Oryctolagus cuniculus: one gene and its partners. The protein of the gene in region 3 interacts with the protein of the main gene of each other region in a pairwise test. Links are inferred from orthologs where the notes say so. Each region holds a gene or a part of one and is shown on either strand. Other genes may lie near its edges.

Region 1 (4,592 bases), on a different chromosome or scaffold from region 3:
GCAAACTCAACACAGGTCTCCCTCATGGGTGGCAGGAACCCCATTACCTGGGAGAGCACACTTGCCTCCAGAAAGCTGAAGTGAGGAGCCACAGGCAGGCACTGAACTCAGGCACTCCCATACGGCATGCAGAAGTCTTAGGTGGCCTCTTAACTGCTAGGCCAAATGGCTGCCCCAAAGCTGTTGTTTTAAAAAAGAATGTTTCATTTGTTTTCAACTTAGGCTGTTTTATTTAATAAAATTCCTATTTGTTATTGCTGGATCATGATCAAAGAAACTGAAAGTAACCTGCCATCACTTTGATTTTTTTTACCTTTTATTTGCAAAAAAGACACTGGTTTCACATATAGGTTGCCATGAACCTAGTACACAGTCCTTACTCTACCCAAGACAAAGTTTTTCTTCGCTAAAACTGAAAGAACCAAAAAATCCCTTCTTGGCTTTTTGGCTAAGATCAAGTGAAGAGTCAAAAGATATATTGGGGGCCGGCACTATGTTGTGGCAGGTAAAGCCGCTGTCTGCAGTGCTGGCATCCCATATGGACGTTGGTTCAAGTCCCGACTGCTCCACTTGCAATCCAGCTCTCTGTTGTGGCCTGGGAAGGCAGTAGAAGATGGCCCACGTTTTTGGGCCCCTGCACCCAAGTGGGAGACCTGGAAGAAGCTCCTGGCTTAAGATAGTGCAGCTCCGGCAGTTGTGGCCAACTGAGGGAGGGAACCAGAGGATGGAGAACCTCTCTCTCTCTCTGCCTCTCCTTCTCTCTATGTGTAACTCTGACTTTCAAATAAATACATAAATCTTAAAAAAAAAAAGTTATATTGAGAAAATGCTCTAACATTTTCCTTTCATCAAGGCACCTTTCCATCTACAAGATGCCTGGGTAGTTTTCTCCCATAATCAGGAGCTCCTGGGGCCTCGCAGATAAAGGCACACAGCTGAACCATATTTCTCTTCAACAATCAAAGTACTAAAAGCTAGTATGAATTGTGCCAGTATTTTATGGTTAGAACAAAGAATGAAGACTTGAACTAGGGCTGGGGTAAGGGATCTGAGCAATATTCTTTTCAACAATTACTTGCTCTAGAAACAGCAATACTGAGCAACTATAATGTGTTAAATAAACGGTCCTAGGTTCTTTACAAATAGGGTATTTTATTAGTAATCCCAGGAACCCTGAGGGAAGTATTTTTATTTCTCATTTCACAGATAAGGAAACAGAGGCCTGGATGTCAATCATTTGTCTTTGACACACAGGTAAGAGAGTTCAAATAATGAGCCAAGGCTTTTTAAACCCTAAGGTTCTCTCCTCTTCCCTTCTGTATTCTTCAAAATGGAAGAGTCAGACACTTGAAGAAATGAAGACTCCTCTCCCAGAGCCCAAGTGCTTGGGCCCCTGCGCCCACGTGGCAGACCTGGAAGAAGCTCCAGGCTCCTGGCTTCAGATCAGCTCAGCTCCAAGTTGTTGCGGCCATTTGGGGAGTGAACCAGTGGATGGAAGACCTCTCTCTCTGTCTCTCCCTCTTTCGGTCTGTAACTCTACCTCTCAAATAAATAAATGAATAAAATCTTTCTTTAAAAAAAAAAAAAAAGACTCCTCTTCCTATCTCACATAGTGCTTTAGAAAAGTTGACTGTTTCAGTATTAAACAGAAGCCAGTGAACAGCAACCAGTGTCAGAAGGCACAAAGGACCATGCCATGTCCCTCATCTCCTGCACTGCTTCCTGTTGGAACAGTTTTCCTGCTGAGTCTCATTATAACCTTAGGACATCAAAATTTAATGATCTCATGATGGAAAACCCCAGAGAACAGCATTTAGCATAACTGGAGAGTTCACTAGATCAGGAAGGAAAAGAAATCAGGTGGCAGGAAGCGATGCTTATCTAAAGACACACAACATCTTTAACACGATATTAACAGTCATTCCAGTGTAATTTCCATGTTAATCTGAGGCTGTCTTTGCATTGCCTTCTATTAATATGTATTACTAAAAGCTGATCCCCACTCCATTTCCCATATGTTTAATAGGATCCTAAATAAGGTAAGACTGCCAAGACACTACGGACTGTTCATTTCTCTTTGCTTTAGAGGAAAATACTCAGTCATAAGTTCAAAGAATTACCAATTATCCCAGAAAGAAAAGAACTGAATCAATTAGGAAAGGTGGCAGGGGAGGGCACAGCCAAACGTGAATTTCATCACCAACTGGACTGTGGCTGGCAGAAATCTTAAATTCACAATTGAAACACACTTTCCTCCTTAGACTTCTAAGGACTCAGCCCAAAACAACCCAAACTGTCAACTAACGGCAGATTGGGGGATGGACAACTGCTAAAAAGTCTCAACACATGCCAAAATGGAAAAAAAAAAAAATCGCTTAGAAGGTCTGCCCTCCACGAAACCACTGAAGAATGAAAGAATTCAGTGTGTGTGCACAAGAAGACCATTACAATGCAGGGGGTGGGGGGAAGAGGTCACTTGGAGTTGGACAAATCCCTAGAAAATGCTAGAGAAAAACACCGACTCTGTGGTCTCCCTGTAAGAAATCCTTGACGGGAAAGGGTCAACTCAAGATAAAGTGGGGTCAGGCTGCAGAACTGCTCTCACTTTTCCTGGACCCCCACCCCCCGCCCCGACCCCTTTCCTCGCAGGCGGCCCCAAGCTCCCACCAGAACCCTTTGGGAGAAGATTTGCACCTGAGGAGCTGGGGGAGCCAAGGAAGGGGCCACCCTCGAGTAAGCAACCACCTGTGCATGCTGGAGACCCCCGAGGAGTTCTCTTCAAAGTGGGAAGTGGCTCTGGGAATGGCCCCCCAAGCCCCGGGGGCGACACGGGGTTCTCCCTCAACTCCTCTGCCCCCTGTGCCCGGTCGTCGGCCACCCCCCAGCTGAGGTCACCTCTCCTGAGACCTCCGCCCTCAGACCCCGGTCTGTACCTCACACCCAGCCGTCCCCGCTCCTCTGCCTGACAGCCGCCCTGCCGCTACCAGGCAGCCCTGACTGCTCGGTCCTGGGGTCCCCACATCAGTCGCAAGATTTAGGGATTAGGATTTGGAAGGGTTTGGTCCAATCCCGGCTCCCTCTCAGCGTCCTGGGCTCACCTCCCCGGCAGCTTGGCGCTCCTCTTCCAAAACTGCTTGCTGTTCTCGGCGGCCATTGCTCTGGCCCGGGGAAGGCCTTGTAGGTGGGTCAGGGGGTGCCCGACGAGACGCCCCCGAGACCCCGCAATCTGAGGGCCAACCCAGGCCGCTTCCCCGTCGCCGGTCACCCGCTCCCAGCTCCTGGGGGCGCCATCTTGGATGTGGGCACCCGCCCACCCAGCGCAGCTGCCATTGGTGGGCTGCGCCAGCCGTGAACAGACGGGCCAATCGGGAGCCGGAATCCTGTAGGATGCTGAAGCCGAACGGTAACGTCAGGGGCTGGGCACCCAGGTGGGCCGGGAAGGCGGAGCTTGAGCGAGCCGGGAGGCGGGGCAGAAAGTTCCTACCCACGAGAGGGAAGAAGCAGGTAAAGAAAGCGACCCACGGGAAGGAGGCACGGGGGCTGTTTTCTTCTGGGGAAATGAGATCCCGGAGTCTGCTATTATTTGTAAGGAGGGCCATAGTGTGTATTTATAAACATAAATCTTTGACCTTGTTGGTTGTGACCCATTTTTAACGACACCCAACTCAGTGACACTTCGGTGATAGCCACCCCTTCCTCGTTCCGGTTCCGTTTAGGTCCGGAGTTTTTTTTTTTTTTTTTCTCCCTATGAAGGACTCAGTTAACCCACGCTCCCTAACTGTTCAACATGTGACAGTGGGTTCAGGAGTCTCCCTCCTCTGTTGACTGAATACTTTTAAAGGATTTGTGCTGTGAATGAAACGCCAAGGATCGAATCCTGTTTTAATCCGTAACTCTCACTTTCTGACAGTGAAAGCCTAGATACTGACTGACAGACGTGTTTAGGGAATGTGGTTGCGTCCATCCAATCCACATGACCAAGTACCCCATTTCTTTAGAGCATATCGTGTATCTCCATGATGTGAATCACCAAGATGCGGGTGTACCCCCACACACTTATCCTTAATTTCCCTTCTTAATCTATTGTAAATCTTTCACCCTTGAATTTGTTCTCAATCTAATTTTGTCTCAGAATGAAATTTAATATTAGCATTTTAAACTCTTTGAAATGTTTTGTCTGCGCTTTGTGCTTTTTTTTTTTTTAAGATTTGTTTATTTATTTGAAAGGCAGAGTTACAGAGAGAAGAGAGAGAGATCTTGATATCTTCCATCCACTGGGTGTCACTTCCCAAATGGCCAAAATGGTCGGAGCTGGGCTGATCTGAAGGCAGGAGCCAGGAGCTTCTTCCTGGTCTCCCGTGCGGGTACAGGAACCCAAGCACTTGGGCCATCTTCCACTGCTTTACAAGGTGCATTAGCAGGGAGCTGGATTGGAAGTGGAGCAGCCAGGACTCAAACCGGTGTCCATATGGGATGCTGGCGCTGCAGACCACGGCTCAACCTGCTATGCCACAATGCCAGCCCCTTGTGCTCTTTTTGAGATTTTGTGGACTGGGGAGAAATAGAAAGTACACTCCATCCACAGTAATTTT
Region 2 (4,636 bases), on a different chromosome or scaffold from region 3:
CAGAGAGGGCAGCTCAAAGTCCTGCCTGGCCTCTCTGGGCAACCACAGGCGCCAATAAATCAGCCACAGGCGATTCTCTCATCCCCCTTCCCGGCTTCAAGTGGGAGCGAGATACACTGCAAGCCAGTGCTGGCTGGACTCGGGAGATAAGTGATCTTGTCTTAAACTCTGCTGCTAACGCCTGCCGCACTGCAGCCAGGTAAATCCCTCTCGGCCTGTCTCTTCCCGCTGCTAACACGTCTGACCACGGACACAGGACCACCTCCGTTTTGGGAAGAATTAGAAATCACCAGTAGCTCATAGTAGGTACTCAATGAACAGCAGCCAAACTGGATCCACCTCCACTACCACCAAACCAGACATTCCGGGTAGATCTGGGCAAAAAAAGATAGGGCAGGTCACGTGGGGCCCCTCCCTGCTTCCTAGCTCACCCCAGCTTGATGTTTCACTGCATTCCGACTACGCCCAGTCCTCAGATCTAACCTATCCCCGGTGATGCCTGACAACCGACTCCTAATGTACCCTCAATTTAAACACATCCACATCCACAGGGGCCAGCGTTGTGGCTGACAGGCAAAGCCGCCACCTGCGACACCAGCATCCCACTGTGGGTGCAGGTTCGAGTCCGGCTGCCCCACTTCTCATCCAGCTCCTGGCTAATGTGCCTGGGAGAGCAGCAGCAGGTGGCCTGAGTCCTGGGGCGCCTGCACCCATGTGAGAGACCCGGAAGAAGCTCCTGGCTTCAGCCTGGCCGTTGTGGCCGTTTGGGGAATGAACCAGCGGATGGAAGCACTCTCTCTCTCTGTAACTCTTTCAAGCGAACACATATCCAGATTGCAAAAGACAGCTTCCAAGCCTTTATCCTAAGGAATTAAACTACACTGCAAACGTTATTCTGGCAGCGAATCGGGCTGAATCTGGGGAGGGCGGGGGTAGGGGAAGGGGCTTCAGGCTCTCAAGCACCTCCCGCCTGGACACGGATGCTATCAGTATGCGAAGGCCAAGGCCAGCACGCAGGGACCACGGCTGACTTCCCAAGCCCAGTGATCCTCCGGCAGACGCCACCCCGGCGCGGAGTGGGGTAACTGGCGTGGCCGAGTCTAGGACCAGGCAGCGCGCAGCGGCCCCTCCATCCCGCAGGGGCCTTCGTCTGCAAAACCACGGGGACAACCCGGATTTTCCACACGCCCCCTCTCAACTCCGAAGTGGGAATCCCGCGGGAGAAACACCACCTCGGCCAAACGGACTCGCGGCTCCGGAAAAAAGCCGGCCAAACGGGAGCCGTCGCCCGCGGGCGCGGGTGGCCGTGGGTCGCCTGAGCGGCTACTGACAGCCACGCGTGCCAGGCAAAGCGGCGGGGGGAAGCCGACCCGCTTCAGAAAGAAGCGCTGGGCCGGCTTCAGGGCGAGACCAGCGACGGCGTGGGGGCAGCTTCCTGTGCGGTGGGCGGGGGAGGGGCGGCGGCCGCAGCGTCCTCACGGCCCAGGAAAGGTCAGCCCCGCGGCCCCGGCCTCCCGCGCGGGCGGCGAGGGGCGACTCCGGCCTTGCTCGGCCCCCGGCAGGCATCTCAAACGGACCCCGAGCACCCCCTCTCGCCCCGGCTCCTCGCACCGTCCCGCGACCCGCGCGGCTCGCAGGCCGCCCCCGCTGGCTCGCGGCGGGACGGCCTGAGCCCCGGGGCGGCCCGCAGGGGCAGGGGCAGGGGCAGGGGCAGGGGCAGGGGCAGGGCCGCGTCGCTTACCCAGACGCCGCCGCGCCGGCGGGCCGGCTCCGCCGTGCGGGAGGGGCGGGCTCCCGCGCCACGCAAGGCACGCGGTGGCGCCAGCTCACGCACCGCCGCGGCCCGCTCTCGCGCGGCTTCCCGCGCCGGCCGCCCGGGCGCTGGGCCCACGTGACCCTGCGCCCGGCCGCGGGGCCGCGAGGGGCGCCGCGGAGTGCGTGCGTGCGTACGTGCGCGCGCGCCTGCCCGCCCGCCTGCCGGAGAGGCCGGGCGGGGGTCGGCCCGCGCTCCGGGCGCCGGCGCGGCCGGCGGTCGTGACTGTAGGCGGAAGCGTGGGGCCGCGTGTGCGCGTCACGGCCGCCCCCCACACACACAACCGCGTGACCCGGGGACTTTCCCCAGGGTGTGCAAAAGCACGGGCACCCGTCAGCTCGGGGTCGGGGTGGGGGAGGATGCGCCCGCGTGTCCGCCGCGCGACAGGGGTGAGGGCGCGGGGCCGGGGCGGCCTGGCCGCGGGAGCCCGGGCGGGGCACGGCGGGGGAGTGACTCAGGCAGGGCCGGGGGCGGGCGCGGGCCCCCCGCGCGGCCAGCCCGGGGCGCGGGGACCGGCGCCCCCGGGACGCCCCCGGCCTCCGGGCGCTGCGGAGCCGGGCTCTGACGTCTGGACGGGCGCGGGGGCCGCAGCATCCCGCCCTCGCGAGTCGGGAGGAGCCCGGGCCCGGCCAGCTGTGCAAACAGGAGGAGGAGGTCCCGAGCCCTGCCCTCGGGAAGAGGGGCGCGCGGGTGGCCGGGCCGCGCCGCGGTGCGGGTCGTGCCAGCCTCCCCGGAGCCCGACGCAGAAACTTGTTGCAGCAAACAGGCGACCGCGGGTGCCCCTAGCAGCCGGCGGCGGAGTGGGTGGGCGGGCGGGAGGGAGGGGAAGGCCTGGCGGACGCCGCAGCGAGCTGGTGGGCAGACCCGGAGTCGCCGCGTAAGCGGGGCCGGCTCAGTGCGGTGCGGCGGGCGCGGCTGTGCGGCAGCGGAAGTCCTTTGTTGCAGCACAGCCCCTGGCAGCGCCGGAGTCTCCGCGCAGCCAGCCCGAGCGCCGCGCGTCGCCGCCACTGCAGCCCGCGGCCCGCGGCCTCCGCCCGCCTTTCCCCGCGGCCGATCTGCCTTAAACTCCCTAAAACCTCCGCAGCCCCGGTTCCCGCTGCGGCCGGTGAGTATTTGCCAGCGGTGGGGCTATTTGCGCAACTTTGGCCCGGGCCGCGCGGGGCCGGGGCCGGAGTGCGGGGCGGCCGGTGCGGGGGAGCCGGACGCGCGGGGAGGAACGCCGGGCGGCGGGCGGCTGCCGGGCCTGCGGCGGGGGCTGCGGGGCGCGCCGCCTCTGGGGTCGGAGGGCGAAGCCCCCCGGTGGAGACGTGGTTCCCAAATTAGTTACCTTCTCTCCCCTGCGCCTGTGTTTTTTGGAGGGGGGGGGAGGGGAGGTGGAGGCGGGAGGGCGCGGGTGATTGACGTGCCCGGAGCCCGCTTCTCAACTCCCAGCTGCGGCTCCCGGGCGGGTGGGAGGGGAAGCGTCCCGGAGGCCGCGGCCGCCGACTCGGGCGCGCTCCGAGGGAGGAGGCGGCGGATTCTTGCTGCGCGCTTTTCCCACCCCCTCGCGCCGGCAACACATGCTGCTTGTTCCGTAGAAGTGGGTAGGTCTGGGGTTGTGTGCCCGGAGCGCTCCCGCGGTGGGCGCTCGCCGCGAAGTTGTGCGGGGCCCGGGCGCGGTGCGCGCAGGCACGGCTCCGACCCCGGCCGCCCGTTCGCGGGCGGGCAGCCTGCGGGGCAGAGGCGGCGATGGCTCGTGGGCGCCGGAGCGGGCCGGGGTCGCCGAGGGGGCTTCCCGCGTGGCAGGCTCCGCACTGGAGCAGTCCCCCCCGGGACGCTCACGCCCGAGGAGCGGTCCGAGCGAGCTCTCCGAGGTAACTTGGACTCCGGCAGCTTCTGGCGCTTTGAAGCGGATTGGGTGAGGGATGGCGGTGCTGGGGACCAACTTCAAACGCGATCGCGGTCGTCTTTGAAACGGGAGAACTCAAGTCTATGAAACTTTTTTTTTAAGGTTCATTTTATTGATTTGAAAGGCAGAGAGGGAGGGAGAAGCGGAGAAAAGCATCTTCCGTTGATTCTCTAAAGTTGTGTCATTGCAAATGGGTCTGGTCGGGAGAAAATGAGAATTGAGACAGGAAAAGGTGAGGCTGGCTGTCACGTGCTCAGAGCTTCAAGCTTGTCCTTTGAGGCCCTTGGCCGGGTCTTGACAGCGTGAATGCCTTTGGGAGCTAGCGGGAGGCTTCGTCCCGAGAAAGACGCGTGGCCGGGGGCGCGCGGGCAGCGCAGCCTGCAGCAGGAGCTGGGGCCACGTTGTCATTGCTGTCGGAGAACGGAGCAGGATGGCCTGCACTGTCAAGAGAGACGGGACTGGGAGCGCAGCGGGCGTGAGCGCAGCACAGCCACTTACTCGTGACCTTGTGTTCTGATTGCGCTTGAACGCTGTTCGGTTTCTGCAGGGTTTCCTGCGTCTCCCCTTCTGCCAGGCTCTGGAGAAGACGCGCCCCCCCCCCCCGGCCTGTTTTTTTAAGAGTCTCTGTGCGCGTTCACAAAACCATTTCCCTTTCTGCTGTGCAGGGGTGGAGGAGCACCTGCGTGCAGGCCTGTGCTTCCCTGGCCGGCTAAGCCTTTGCTGTTAACCTGGCCCAAAGGGGAGGAAATCATTCGGGATATAAATGCGGGGGAATTTCCGTAGATTTTTAATTTTTAGCTACAATATGTTGCCCCCCCCCCCCCCCCCACACACACACCAGGAGGTTTATTTGAGAAATGTTTGGTCACTTTGGTCTTTATAGAAGTTTCCTCCTGGTACTTTTCATCTTGTGCTGGTCGCTCTTATAGTGAAAT
Region 3 (4,472 bases):
GGTCTAGATGACCTGGAAATCTCTTTGCTGGGGTAAAGGCTGGCAGGAGACTGGGAGCTGTTCTCTTTCTCAGAAAATGTCCCACAGAAGACAAAGGTGGCCAGAGCTCTGTGCAATCTGAGAATGGTAGGTGCAGAAACTACAGTGTTACTATGCTTACTGAGAACAGCATGGACCATGGGTTTCTAGCACAGGGCTGTGTCATGTGGTAAGGTGAAGGCACTTGAAGAGCAACAGGTGATGTCACTATCCTCCAGCCAATGGAAATGTCCTAGCAGCAAGGGAGCTGGGAGAGTGAAGGGGAGATGGGGGTGAGGTGAGCAGCAAGGACTGAGTGCTGAAAAAACAAGTGCTTAAGGTTTCATATTGTGTAGCAGCTAGAATTAGGGGCAGAAAAGGGACCCAACGAAGGGTTCCCACTGTCCCGCTGCAGGAAACAGACAACTGTCACCCTAGGTGTGGCCCTACCCTGCAGAGTGTGTGGATCCTGGAAGGCAGCCTTTGTCCCCTTGTCCTTTGCCAGGGTCACAGAGGCTCACCTTCCAAAATAACTTACTTGACGACTTGGCAGTGTGGATTCCACTGGCCGTGTAGAGTTTGTGATTCTGATGTAATCAGGCACTCAGCTTGCTCTCCAGCTCTGTCCTGTCAGGCAGTTCCCGAACCAGGTTAGATGGATCAGGATCCCTTCACTGGATCTGTCCAAAGCAAGGCAGAGGTATTTCACTGTGGTTACGTCCCAAATGCCCTGCTCAGGATGTGCCAATTTTGAATCTGCTCACGAATACAAGAAACTGCTGCTCCACCCCCAGGGAAAAATCCCACCCACCAAGCCCCAAATCCCACCTCCACTCAAGCCACACCCCCAAGGCCAAGCTCTGCATCCACCTAAGCCTCACGCCTGCCATGTAACTGCGTCCACGCAAGCCCCACTCCTTGCACCAAACTCTGCGTCCACGCAAGCCCCACCCCTGCCGTCTAACTCTGCGTCCACGTAAGCCCCACCTCTGGTGCCAAACTCTGCGTCCACGCAAGCCCCACCCCTGCCGTCAAACTCTGCGTCCACGCAAGTTCCATCTCTGGTGCAACACTCTACGTCCATGCAAGTCCCACCTCTGCCGTCAAACTCTGCGTCCACGCAAGCCCCACCCCGGCGCAACACTCTGTGTCCACGCAAGCCCCACCCCTGCCGTCAAACTCTGCGTCCACGCAAGTCCCACCCCGGCGCAACACTCTGCGTCCACGCAAGCCCCACCCCTGCCGTCTAACTCTGCGTCCACGTAAGCCCCACCTCTGGCGCCAAACTCTGCGTCCACGCAAGTCCCACCCCGGCGCAACACTCTGCGTCCATGCAAGCCCCACCCCTGCCGTCTAACTCTGCGTCCACGTAAGCCCCACCTCTGGCGCCAAACTCTGCGTCCACACAAGTCCCACCCCGGCGCAACACTCTGCGTCCATGCAAGCTCCATCTCTGGTGCAACACTCTACGTCCATGCAAGTCCCACCTCTGCCGTCAAACTCTGCGTCCACGCAAGCCCCACCTCTGCCGTCTAATCTGCGTCCACGCAAGCCCCACCCCTGCCGTCTAATCTGCGTCCACGCAAGCCCCACCCCTGCCGTCAAACTCTGCGTCCACGCAAGTTCCATCTCTGGTGCAACACTCTACGTCCATGCAAGTCCCACCTCTGCCGTCAAACTCTGCGTCCACGCAAGCCCCACCCCGGCGCAACACTCTGCGTCCACACAAGCTCCACCCCTGCCGTCAAACTCTGCGTCCACGCAAGCCCCACCTCTGGCGCCAAACTCTGCGTCCACGCAAGTCCCACCCCGGCGCAACACTCTGCGTCCACGCAAGCCCCACCCCTGCCGTCAAACTCTGCGTCCACGCAAGTCCCACCCCGGCGCAACACTCTGCGTCCACGCAAGCCCCACCCCTGCCGTCTAACTCTGCGTCCACGTAAGCCCCACCTCTGGTGCCAAACTCTGCGTCCACGCAAGCCCCACCCCTGCCGTCAAACTCTGCGTCCACGCAAGTTCCATCTCTGGTGCAACACTCTACGTCCATGCAAGTCCCACCTCTGCCGTCAAACTCTGCGTCCACGCAAGCCCCACCCCGGCGCAACACTCTGCGTCCACGCAAGCCCCACCCCTGCCGTCAAACTCTGCGTCCACGCAAGTCCCACCCCGGCGCAACACTCTGCGTCCACGCAAGCCCCACCCCTGCCGTCTAACTCTGCGTCCACGTAAGCCCCACCTCTGGCGCCAAACTCTGCGTCCACGCAAGCGCCATTCCTGGCGCCAAAAGCCAACCTCTGAAGATCCACTGAACCGGCAAACTGCGTCTTGCGCAAGCGCCATTTCTGGCGCCAAAAGCCACTTTCACCAAGAGCCACTGAACCGCCAAACTCTGTGTCCATCCGAGTGTCATACACTCCGCCATTCATGTGCACGTCCTGCACCCACCCAAGTTCCTCACTTCCATTTCCCTGTACTCCTTTCCCCCACCTCATTATCTTTAACCTCCTGTACCCATCAGGCTGTCCCATTCACTCCTAACCTCACACACCCTTTCCACTACTCTGAGCAGGGACACATCTAGTCAGCAGAGGTAGCTAGAGGCTAGAACAGGAATGGCCAAAGCCACTTTCCCTCAAGGATAAGGGCCAGAACCAGTTGTCCTTACTGCTACGTCTGGGCAGGTTTGGGGTAGAATGGGCCCTCCTAAAGTTCTGAGGCCACTCATGATAACTGGAAATATCAGGGACCCCTAGGATTCTGCTTCCAGGGGAATCTAAGGCCACTGGCCCCTGGGACCTCATGGAGGTCAACCAGGATCATTGGAGGGAATCTGTTGTAACCTTGGTTCCCTTTTGTGCCCAAACCCAGCTCCTTACCTTCTGGGAATGCCTCCAGGCCACAGCGCCCGTGCAGCGTGGCCACTCTGCCGCCGCCACTGTACGGAATGAGCCGCGAGTTTGTGGCGGGAAAGAAATTGTCGGGTAAGCAACGGTCTTCAGCACCGCCCACTCGCAGATGCATCCCGGCAACGTCTACGGCCACGCCCACCCCCATCTCCACCTCCACCCCACTCCTGCAATAAAGGGGTTGTGCCCTGTCCACCGCACGTTTCTCCTCTGAGTCATGACTGGAGGGGGAACAGAGAATTCAAACCATACTGAGAACTGTTGCGTTGCAGAGTTGCTCACAGTCCAGCTTGTACGTGCTCAATAGAGGCCGACAGGACCACCACCTGTCACATCAGTCCCAGCAACCATTGCGGCTACTATGATAGGTGTCTCTCACCCATTGGACTGGGACTGGCTCTGACTTTCACCAGTGGCTCCTCCTGTTTGTGTATTCCAAGCTATGCACACAGGGCTATGTGCAAAGTATAGGTCCAGGTGCAAACTACAAGCTCGGTACCTACTAACTAACCAAACGTCTCTGTCCTTGTTAATTTTTATCCACTGTGTCCTAGGGGACGGCAAAAAATAAAAAATACAGCTACTACCTTCATTTTACAAATGCATGCAATTTTCAAGGCTCATTGAGATACAGGAAACTATCAAGATTTCATTCTCTCATTATTCTCGTGATTGCATGAGAATTACCCACGAGGTACCGAAACTTCTCTCTTTTCTTTCCCAAAGCAGGTTTCTTCCACAGAGGGAAGACTTAGCTGTTTTCCTTGGGGCTACTGGGGACCCTAAAGTCCTGTCCCAGCAAAGGGCACTGGTGGGACACTGGTAGCAGTTTACAAAGTGCACACACATTTCCCAGAGCAGGTGATAGTAGCGGTTCAAGTTGTGAGTCAGGAGGTCTTGGCAGAGCTCAGAGTCTGCAAAAGTACCAAAACTCTAGCGGCTATTGCAGTTCCCTGCCCATGCTTTGTGTAGCACTGCTCTGAGATTACCAGAGCCAGAAGTTGTAAGCTGACAGAACGTAAGTTTTGCTGTATTTGGTACGAATAACAGGCCTTTTTTAAAATCATATTTTAATGAAAATGTGAAAAGCAGAAAACTTTTAAAACTAAATGTCACCAAGTAAGATACATACAAATATTGCATTATTCTCCTTTAATTGAAAATTTTTCCTAGGTGAGACATGACACTGTAACCCAGACCCCTATACTGCGTACTTAACAAGAACATACTTTGGACTATCTCTTAAATTAATTTCCTTCTCCTTACTGGAGAAAATGATTACTTGGCGCTGCCACGTGGTCACAGACCAGACGGCTCTCCTTACAGCAGTCCACAGCACCCTCTGGATGACACCACCAGCTGCCCAGTCTCATACAGGCTGTGAGCAGAGCTGTCCTGAGCACCTCTGTACTTCATTCTACTTCTCACTGCTAGACTTGGCTCCTCCCTAGTCTTTCCTTAAAAACAAAAAGTTGCTGAGGGATGAGGAGGAGATCATGGTGCATTTTACCTGAACCCTGTAAACCCGGACCACCCAGAAGGTTAAGA

Evidence for each region. The genes of interacting proteins can lie anywhere in the genome.
Region 1: the proteins of PNMA5 (region 3) and TBC1D22B interact in binary tests that used the Homo sapiens proteins (3 or more experiments, as listed by UniProt). The link is inferred for Oryctolagus cuniculus from reciprocal best matches to the Homo sapiens genes PNMA5 and TBC1D22B.
Region 2: the proteins of PNMA5 (region 3) and ZBTB25 interact in binary tests that used the Homo sapiens proteins (3 or more experiments, as listed by UniProt). The two-hybrid records come from large-scale screens. The link is inferred for Oryctolagus cuniculus from reciprocal best matches to the Homo sapiens genes PNMA5 and ZBTB25.

The regions. Positions count from the first base shown.
Region 1 is NC_091436.1:132,390,227-132,394,818, forward strand, and holds the start of TBC1D22B (TBC1 domain family member 22B), read right to left. Parts: upstream 3,234-4,592; 5' UTR 3,155-3,233; coding exon 3,099-3,154; intron 1-3,098. UniProt on the Homo sapiens protein: May act as a GTPase-activating protein for Rab family protein(s).
Region 2 is NC_091451.1:5,939,049-5,943,684, reverse strand, and holds the start of ZBTB25 (zinc finger and BTB domain-containing protein 25), read right to left. Parts: upstream 3,234-4,636; 5' UTR 3,141-3,233; intron 2,919-3,140; exon of another isoform or gene 2,675-2,918; intron 2,203-2,674; exon of another isoform or gene 1,990-2,202; intron 1,930-1,989; exon of another isoform or gene 1,742-1,929; intron 1,717-1,741; exon of another isoform or gene 1,233-1,716; intron 1-1,232. UniProt on the Homo sapiens protein: May be involved in transcriptional regulation.
Region 3 is NC_091453.1:131,406,062-131,410,533, forward strand, and holds the start of PNMA5 (paraneoplastic antigen-like protein 5), read right to left. Parts: upstream 3,023-4,472; 5' UTR 2,895-3,022; intron 699-2,894; 5' UTR 557-698; intron 1-556.